2 linked regions of the Drosophila melanogaster genome follow. The protein of the gene in region 2 interacts with the protein of the main gene of each other region in a biochemical or structural test. Each region holds a gene or a part of one and is shown on either strand. Other genes may lie near its edges. The genes, in order: eIF4G1 and eIF4E4.

Evidence for each region.
Region 1: the proteins of eIF4E4 (region 2) and eIF4G1 form a complex in vitro, tested with the Drosophila melanogaster proteins (one study listed by BioGRID).

The regions. Positions count from the first base shown.
Region 1 is NC_004353.4:927,678-932,864, forward strand, and holds the start of eIF4G1 (eukaryotic translation initiation factor 4G1), read right to left. Parts: upstream 3,039-5,187; 5' UTR 2,835-3,038; exon of another isoform or gene 2,605-2,834; intron 2,455-2,604; 5' UTR 2,403-2,454; intron 2,347-2,402; 5' UTR 2,223-2,346; coding exon 2,145-2,222; intron 475-2,144; coding exon 1-474.
Region 2 is NT_037436.4:6,663,687-6,667,770, forward strand, and holds eIF4E4 (eukaryotic translation initiation factor 4E4), read right to left. Parts: upstream 1,956-4,084; 5' UTR 1,822-1,955; coding exon 1,481-1,821; intron 1,429-1,480; coding exon 1,329-1,428; intron 1,249-1,328; coding exon 1,161-1,248; intron 906-1,160; coding exon 745-905; 3' UTR 538-744; downstream 1-537. Other genes in the region: Grl65a (gustatory receptor-like 65a), read right to left, coding at 2,952-3,098, 3,162-4,084.

The sequences.
Region 1 (5,187 bases), on a different chromosome or scaffold from region 2:
TTGTTTAATGTCCTGTACATTTAGAAAGCAAACATTTCCATCTAGACTTCCAGTTAATTTTCGGTAACTGGATATGTTATAAATGGCAGTCGAATTCATATCACCCGAATTCAGTTGTCTACTATTTACTGTCAATATGCTTGAACCGTTACAGATAACCGATGACTGGGCTCTAACTGGTTCAGACGCAGATAAGCTTCTATTTACAACGTTTGTATAGCTTTGTTGATGCTGCTGTGTTTGCTGTGGGTGATGGATTGGTGGATGCTGCTGATTCGTCAAGTGTGGGGACTGTTGAGCGATCTGCGCTGATGCCTTAAGAATGGAGACCACATTGTATGCCTTATTTATCTGAAACTGAGGCTGAGCAGTGGGATGGCTATGCTGCGGTTGAAGAGGCTGATGAAGAGATTGTGGCTTTGAAGTTGGCACCTGTTGATCATACTTTTTGGTCTTTTTATTGGCTGGCAAAATCTACAACAGATCACAAGAGTGGGAACATTTTCGGACTGTAAAATTGATTTAACAATGATTAAAAAAAAATGTTGCCGAATATATAAGTTATAAAAACTATTAGATAATTGGTTAATCCTACTTTATTGCACTTAAACAAAGTATTAAAAAAACCAAAACAAACCCATTTAAAAATAAAATGAAACTGAGAAATCAAGAATCGGAATTTTGAGTAGTATTACACTTCTGCACTGTGAAATTTGAATATTATACTTATGCAGATTTTTTAATACTTTTCAGCCTCAAATTTTGTGATAAATAAATCCAGAATTAACAAATATATATAAAACATGCATTGGGTTTGATAATTTTATTAGGGTTTAGAGTTTTTGTCCTACGTCCCCTATGGACAAATAATGTTTATGGGATTTAGCTGTCTAACACAGTTCAAATGATAGATTACAAGATTAATTAATTAATAAAAAAAAAGTTGTGCGTACAAAATAAGAACACTAAATGATTAAAAACAATTAAACTATTATTTATTTTGTTATAGCTTCATTTAATTTTCCGACTGTTGCTCCTTAGTCGTCGCCGGCATGTTGACAATTAGCCTTAAAACCAAAGTTATACGCGGTCAAAAAACGGTGTATATCAAGTTGTCATTCAGAAATAAAAAGTATGAAGCTATTATCTTCTGGACTATTTTATATTTATTTTACTCGGCTGCTGATACTGATAAAGAATATATATATAATTTATATGGTCCCAAATATCTCTTTTACTGCGATTTAAATATATGCCTTATATCATTAAGCCCTTCAAAAGGACATCACTATAAAATACAATATCAAGTTGACATTTTATGAATAAAAACAACGAAACTATTATATTAGGGACTATTATATATGGACTGATTCTGTGACTTGGATATGTGAAATCATTAATCCTTTAAATCAATATAATAAAATACATTTCGAATATTTTTTTTCCCTTGGATAGATTAATCACAATGCGTTTTGAGTTTAGCTTTAAAATTACGTTGCTGAGTGTCTGCCAGTTACCAACAAACCAGATTCAGCATCCATTTTTGGAGCCACCGTTGAAATAAAAATTTTTTTAATTAATATTTTTACCGATAAAAACTATATGATTTATGTATGTTTGGAAAAACGCGGTTTTTTATAGTTTAGGTTTTAAATAAAGTACTTCATACCATGCCCGGAAGAGCTTCATTTATGAATTATGTAGCTTTACAGGACTAGAACAATTATTAGTATTCAATCAAGTTCGTTAAAAAAATTTTTAATTTTTTAATTCATTTAGTAAGTAACTTAAATAATTGTAATCGCAAACATATATTTTATAAATTTTTTAATTGAATTATATACCTTTTATACAAACCGCAATATTTATAAAACAAACATATAAAAAAATTCCACAAAAATAGCATTTTCTTTTTAAACTTTGCTGTTATTGTACGAGAAGTGTGATACTATCTTAATAGATTGTTTACATTGACTACAGCAGGCAAACTTATAAAAAATAGGTTTTAGCTCTTTTCGGAACTAGGAAAACATATTTATTTAACGAACTAATTTAAAACAATTGCAAGGAAAGTAATACAGCAAATAATGTCAAAATGTATATATGTAAATAATTTTGGAGATGTTATTTTTATATCGACTTACCATATTTTGTGCTGAATGGGGCTGCATGGCTTTATCTATATCTGATTGTGTTGGTAAAGTTGGTATAGCCTGTTGCATTACGTATGTGTATTCCTAGAGTTAGCTCTGTAGGAAATCGCCAAACGGTTAGATTTACCGTTTCATAGACGATTTCTGTGGTGATTTTGGACCCACAAATACGACGTCATTCAATCATTTGATTCTTTAATGAATATTAATGAATATTAATTGTCCACGTTTCAGTTCTGCATATTTTACCTGGAAATATATTGATATACAGCTACCAGAGAGGTCTCTGAAATTAAAAGAACTGACACGTATAAAATCATTAAATATCACAAAAGATTTCACCCAAATGTTTCAAAAATATAAAGTAGACATTTTGTAATTTATTAAGTCTAGAGCTGAAGCCCAGAGATAATTTCTATTAAACATTTGCCAATCCATCCTGGAGCCTTACTTATTTGCCGACGTTGCCGTTGTGACTTTGGAGATTTCGTTCTCACAATCACAATGGTGCATATGGTGAAAACGTGCCACGAATTCCATCGTTTACATCATTTTTAAAAAGTTAAGACACATTTCAGAATGTTAGTGGTAAAATCTTTTTTCCCTTCACTGTGCACAGTAAACTTGCAAAGTATCATGTAATATTTGTTGCCCAGTGCTCATTATTAACCATCAATTTACCTGAGCAAATGTTTGTATGTGCCTATCCGACGTGATTATGTACAAAAAATACAAATGTTAAGAATTCCACTTTAAGTGTATTTTAAAAATGTATTTATTTATAAAAATGAAGCAGTAATTCCAGCTTTATCTTTACATTCAAAAACTATTTTTTAATAATTTCCACATGCAATGTGTTCTGTTCATACGAACAGAGTTGCATTTATTATTTGAAACATCGATAGCACACAAGAAATAGTGATAACTGAAGAATATCATTATCAACGATAGTTAGGTCACATTTTTAAACGCTTCATCATTAATAATTTAATTTTTTGCTAACCATAAGTTTTTAAAAATAAAAAAAAAATCATATTTCAATGTTAATTATTTACTAAAACTACTTCATAATACGTTTATTCTATTGAGGTTTGCCAAAATTATAATAATGATTGTACATGCTATGCCAGCGTTCAATTCCTGATAATGAGCCCTTTCCGCAACATGGCTAAATAGATCATTATATCTAAGAATACAACATATGGGCAACTTTAAAACAAAATGTTAATTTCATCGTAATTAGGGTTTCTTGAACGTAAAATATAATTAGTTAATTATGGCCAAAATAAGACCCTTTCACACTGACTAAAATACATATGACAATAAAGAAATTGGTAAAAAACGATTCTATATTACATCAAAATATCGATAAATAAAAGAATTTAAATCAAAACAAAAATAATCCGTATTCAGACCCAATTATTTTATATTATTATTATATATTTTTTTTTTTTGGCACGGGTCCAACGGCGACACCTCCCGACCAACCGAACGAGGGGCGCTGCCGTGTATCGTACGCCTCGATTAGCGAGAGGATAGACGCGATATAAAAAAGAGAACAGGATCGAGGAAATGAATATAATATAAAATAACTATATTAAATATTACTGTTAGTAGGATCTAATCATAAAATAAAAAAAGGTAAAATCAATTGCTTTGTGAGCGGCAGAGAGTCAAGATTACAGATATTAGGATAAAGTCTATTATAATCAGAACATAATACTCTGTAAGGGTCACGCAACTCATAGTTAGATCTACAATGATTTAAAATAAGGAACTGAGAACTGAAATAAGGAACTGAGAACTACTACTGAGAACTACTTCGAACTGAGAAGTTAAGCCGACTAATCAAGTCAGAACTCTTAACATCCCCACGAATAAGCTTACAAATAAAGACTGTTCCAAGCATAGTTCTACCAAAGACACTAGAATAACAAGATGCGTAGCGGCCATACATTGGTTTGGCACTATGCAGCCAATTTTTTAGTGACGGCCAAAATTGCTCTCTTTCCGCTCGCTCCCGCTGAGAGCATAAGAAATCTAAAAATAGAATTTGCTTGCTTGTGTGAGTAAAAACAAGAGACGAGAACGCATATATGTGTGCGTGTTGTGCTAGAAGACGATTTTCGGACCGAAATCAATTCTGATCGAAAAAACGAATTTACATTGTACATATTAGGGTAGTTTTTGCCAATTTCGTAGCAATATGATAAAATAAAATAATTTTTAACTGACTATTATCATTTTAAAGCTTTTTAAATTTGTTTGTTAAAATCGCCGCTCGAATTAGCTACCGTTTACACATTTATATTTATGTTTAATTCTAATTTGTCTCTCATCTGACAATTTTTTAAGAAAGCGAAATATTTTTTTTTTTAAACACTTTTAATGTTAATGTTACATCATATAAAGTCAAATGACATAATAAATATAGTAAATAATTAAATATGATAACTGTTTATTGCAAAAGTCATATCAAAGACACTAGAATTATTCTAGTGTCTTTGCTTTGTTCATATCTTGAAGCACGAAGTACGGACACAAGCACTCAACAATCATTGCCTTATTAATTTTTCACACGCCGCAAGATGAATACTCTAATGACAAATATTCTTATATAAAGTCATTTTTGAAATTTATTTTTGTGATAATATGTACATAGATTTGGCTATTTCTAATCTATTTTCATATAATAATAACGTTAAGGCAATGCAAAACAAGAATTTTTCGCATGGTGCCAATTGATCAAAAATAATATAGATTTAAAGTCAAAGAACTTCTAAGGTGAAGGGCATATTTTGTGAAATTTACAATGCATGAGCGAGCATACGTGTGCACACATACAGTTGTCTGCTATCACTTTATGCGATGAAAAGAGCTGTTCGCTGTAGCACTCTCCGCTCTCTCGCTCTCTAACAAAAATTCGAGAGAGCCTGGAGCCACCTCTAGAGCCACGGCGAAAAAATCGTGTGCCAAAAAATCGTATGGCGTTACGCATCTTGTTATTCTAGTGTCTTTGGTTCTACGGTTAGCT
Region 2 (4,084 bases):
AAGATACTTTAAAAACGTACTTAATAGGTTTTTTTTTAAATTATTAAAATAACATTTTTTACACGCAAATTAAGAGTCTCTTTTCAAACTCGAACTCGAAGCTCATAGCATGAATTTTAATACTGCGCGAGGCAACGGCGTTTCGTTCGGCCTTTCATCAAAATTCAATTGTCTCCATTTTGGAAGCCCTCGACGCCAGTTCCAGATACCAGAGATCCCAGAGATTCAGCGCCGGGTACTGTGGCACTCGCTAAAACGGACAATCCGCCGTGGCCATTGTTGACCCTTTTCGGTCTTTTGTTTTTCGCTCGGCCAGCCAAGCGAACCAAGTGGACGTTTATCTTTTGCAGTCACTGTGCACTTCTAGCTGGCCCGGCCAAAAGTACAAACTGCAAGTGTATATAAACCATTTTATTTGCGCTCTGGTGCGGCATATGTTTGCATAACATTTTGTGGAGCATAAAGGGTCCAACTAGCGGCATAAAAAGAGCTCCTTGGGACTTAAAAACTGGGGAATTTAATGATGGCTCGTCGTATATGCATTCACAACACTATGTATTTACATCTTTCTTTGCAATTTTTAACATGGTCAAATTCATAAAACCAGTTCTGTTTCAAGATACATTTTTTTTTTTATATTTTTCGGATACACGCGCTGGAAACAGCATTCAGAGGCATAAGCGGCCATGGAAATGTGGGTGGTTGGTGGATGGAGTGGTGGGTGGCATCCAAAACGGAGACGGCTTACACGCAATAAACCGCTTTGATCACCGATCCCTGCTTGCACATAGTGTCCTTGTGCAGCTGGTACTGCAGTTGGTGGGGCGGCAGGACGAGCAGGTCGCGTAACTTGAGTCCAATCTCCATGACGGCCAGCTCGTTGTGCCCGTTGGCGGTCCAAATCGCTTGCGGAGTAAAGGCGCTGGGTTAGTAGTTGTCATGGTGGTGTCCACTGGCTACTTAAGCTGAGTACACTACAAAACTACAATGTGTAAACTATGTTTAAAAAAAAAAAACAGAGCCAACCTAGGTGTATACCACTTAATATTTATAGGTTGGCGAAGTAAACAAAACATGTGTAATGTTTTTAGTAAAATATAATATTTGTAACCAGCTTTTTTAATGCACATGCACATCTTTTTTTTTTCAGTAATACTCACAAATTTTGTTGCTCTTCCCGCGCAAGTTGATAACGGCGCCGCAGACTTCCTCGGTGTTTTCAAAGGCCTCGCCAATCAGTATGAGTAGCTGTCAGTGGGCAGAAAAGAGGTTGTGCAGTTGCAACTGATATGACAGGCGATGGACACAAAGCTCCAATAGCTACTTACCACATCTAACCAAAGCTTGTCGAGCTCCGCTTTGGAGCCACGCCCCATATTGATGACCCAACGGCCGCCGAACTTGTTCGCATCATCCTCCCACATTGGCCTGCAATGAATAGGAAATCGGTAATCATGTATATAAATCTAGCCAATCTTACTGAATGCCCTTCTTGAACAAAGAATAATCGCTGCCCACTCTAATCTCAGATGGCTGCTTAATGTGATTGTAGAGACTCCAGAAGTCCTCGACCATGTCAAAGCTAGTAATCTCGTTCTGCATGTCCTCCCAGTTCTTGCTGCGATCATTCTCCAAGTACCACAGTGTCCAAGTGTTCTCTAGCGGATGCTTAAGGCGCAAATCAACAATCTCCGTTACGGGCTTGCGAATATCCATATCCGAAAGCGTTTTCAGATCCTCGCTGGAACTCGAAGGAGAATCGGCCAGCGTCTCGGTGCCGTTGTCCATCATCTTGAATTCGGTCTGCTGGGTCGTCAGCATGGTTGAGTGTATTTGGCGAATGATCTTTTATACTGATTCAAATTTATAACAATGGATGCTAATAAAATTTCAGATCACCTGGGAAAAACGATTTCACAGCCACAACACGAGAATGTGTATAAGGGGCTGGCTACGAAACCAGACTGAAGCCATTCACACAGACAGTAAAGGCATAGGGAGGTTCGGGGGTATTTTTACCCTCGCCGACTTGACCTGTTCCCCAATTCATAACTTTCATTGCACGTAAATAATTAGGCACTCTTTGGACCACCTCTCTTACTACCCAACGTACTTCGGTCCCAGTTTCTTCTGCTTCTAATTCAACTCTTAACTCTTTATGTTCTCATAAGGTTCGCTATGGGCTTATGCACTGCCAGAAAATAACAGTACGAAGTGGGTTGTAATTGGGAAAATATACATTTTTATTTATATATAGATTTAGCTATAAGTTTATTTAAAAATCAGTATAAATCTTTTGTAATTACACTTTCATTTGTAGATACTTAGCTGCCTATTTTTTTCCTCTGCGTTTCCATGTTCCTGATTCGTTTATGGCCATCTTGTTGGCCTTGGTGATAAAAATCGAGCGCCTTATGCTTTCGTTCATATAAAGCGTTAATTTTATGACACAGAATGGAAGGACACTTGAGCGACTCCGAGTCCAGAGAGAAATTTACGCACTCACACTTTTCGCCTCCGTTGGCTCCTTTCTTTTTTCCTATGATTTTACGACAATTGAGGGGGACAAAAGGAGACGAAAGGCACGGCGTTGGGAGGGGGGGTGGAGTCACAGAAGGTGAAATTTTCCGGGCTTTGATGGTGTTGATAATGATGATGTTGTTGCTATTGCCAAAGCTGTCGTCTTTTATGTTGCCTGCCATAAAAGTGAAAATATTATGAAGCTTGTTCGAAATGGTGGAACAATGAAACAGCTACGTAATTGCCGGCAAAGTATCTCGAAAGTCATCTATGAGGCAGTTTTTGACTTGTGCAATTGACATTGGTGCACAACAGTTGCGATAACATGACAGCCCAGAATGCTAATAATAGACAAAACGACGATATCGAAATTGAGCAAGGACTGCTCCGACTTTAATTTGACAGTTAAATGGCAGGATCTATTGAGGACACTAGATGTGCAAGTACTCCAGTCGGTTAACAAACGCGCAAAAGGCACTAATGGATAGCAGTTTGAACAGCAATTTCGTGTCGAGTGTATTGCCGTATATGGTGACTGTGATACGTTCCCAAATTTCCTGATGTAGTAATTCATCAATCTGTACTTCAAAAGAAAACTCAAAAAAAAAACCTACTAGTTTATATTATATAGTTTTACTCACCGTTCTAGCAGTTTCCTTATGGTAATTGGTCAAGTGAAAAGTGCATAAACTCCGGGTGATTCTTGATTCACGAGAAAGAATCGCAAAAATAGTCCACTGGAATATTATGTTCAATGCGGAAATGATGAGGAAGTTAAAACCATTTTGATCTTTAGCTGTTAAACTAAAGAATGGTAATAATCCGTAGATAATAGCACACAGCCAATGAAATCGGAAATGCCGTATGATTCTGACGGTAATATGAAAGACATTTTGACGCAGTCGAATTAATTTTTCAGTGATTCCTTGAAGTTGTTTTACCAACACCATAAATTGACCACTTTCATGGACAGAATGAAGTCTGAGCTTATCCATATCATTTGAGATTCGTCGAGTGCAATGGTGTAGTTCGCTATACGTGGCAATGAGCACTACAAAGAGGCAAATATTGATGGTGATCTGAAGAAGAAAGCTCAGCAGGACGGCCAGTATAATTAATAGGATAACGCTATTAAGAAAAGAGTCATAAGCTTCAGCAGAGTGGTTACTTATTCCCACTATCGTATTCAGTGATCTTAAAAGATTTTGCAGGGCCAAAAGAAGGAGCAGCAAATGTTTCAGGCGAAACAGATTCGGGTGCCTGGCCATTAGATTCACCTGCCTCATGATTCTCAGCATTTGGTTTAGCAACTCCACGATCTCTGCACTTTCCAAAAGTCCGTGTATTCTTACCACCAATATGATAACACTTCCTACCACATATGGCCACACAGCTTGCAGATTATGAAACATTTTACTCGTGGTAACAATCAGGAAAAGTGCCAGAAAAATGAGAACTAAGCTGGAGTAGAACCGCAGAAATCCGGACTGACGAAAGCATTGCGCCTTCGAGTTGTACACAAAGGTGGCGACCCCGCAGATCTGGGTCACCAACACGATGAGAA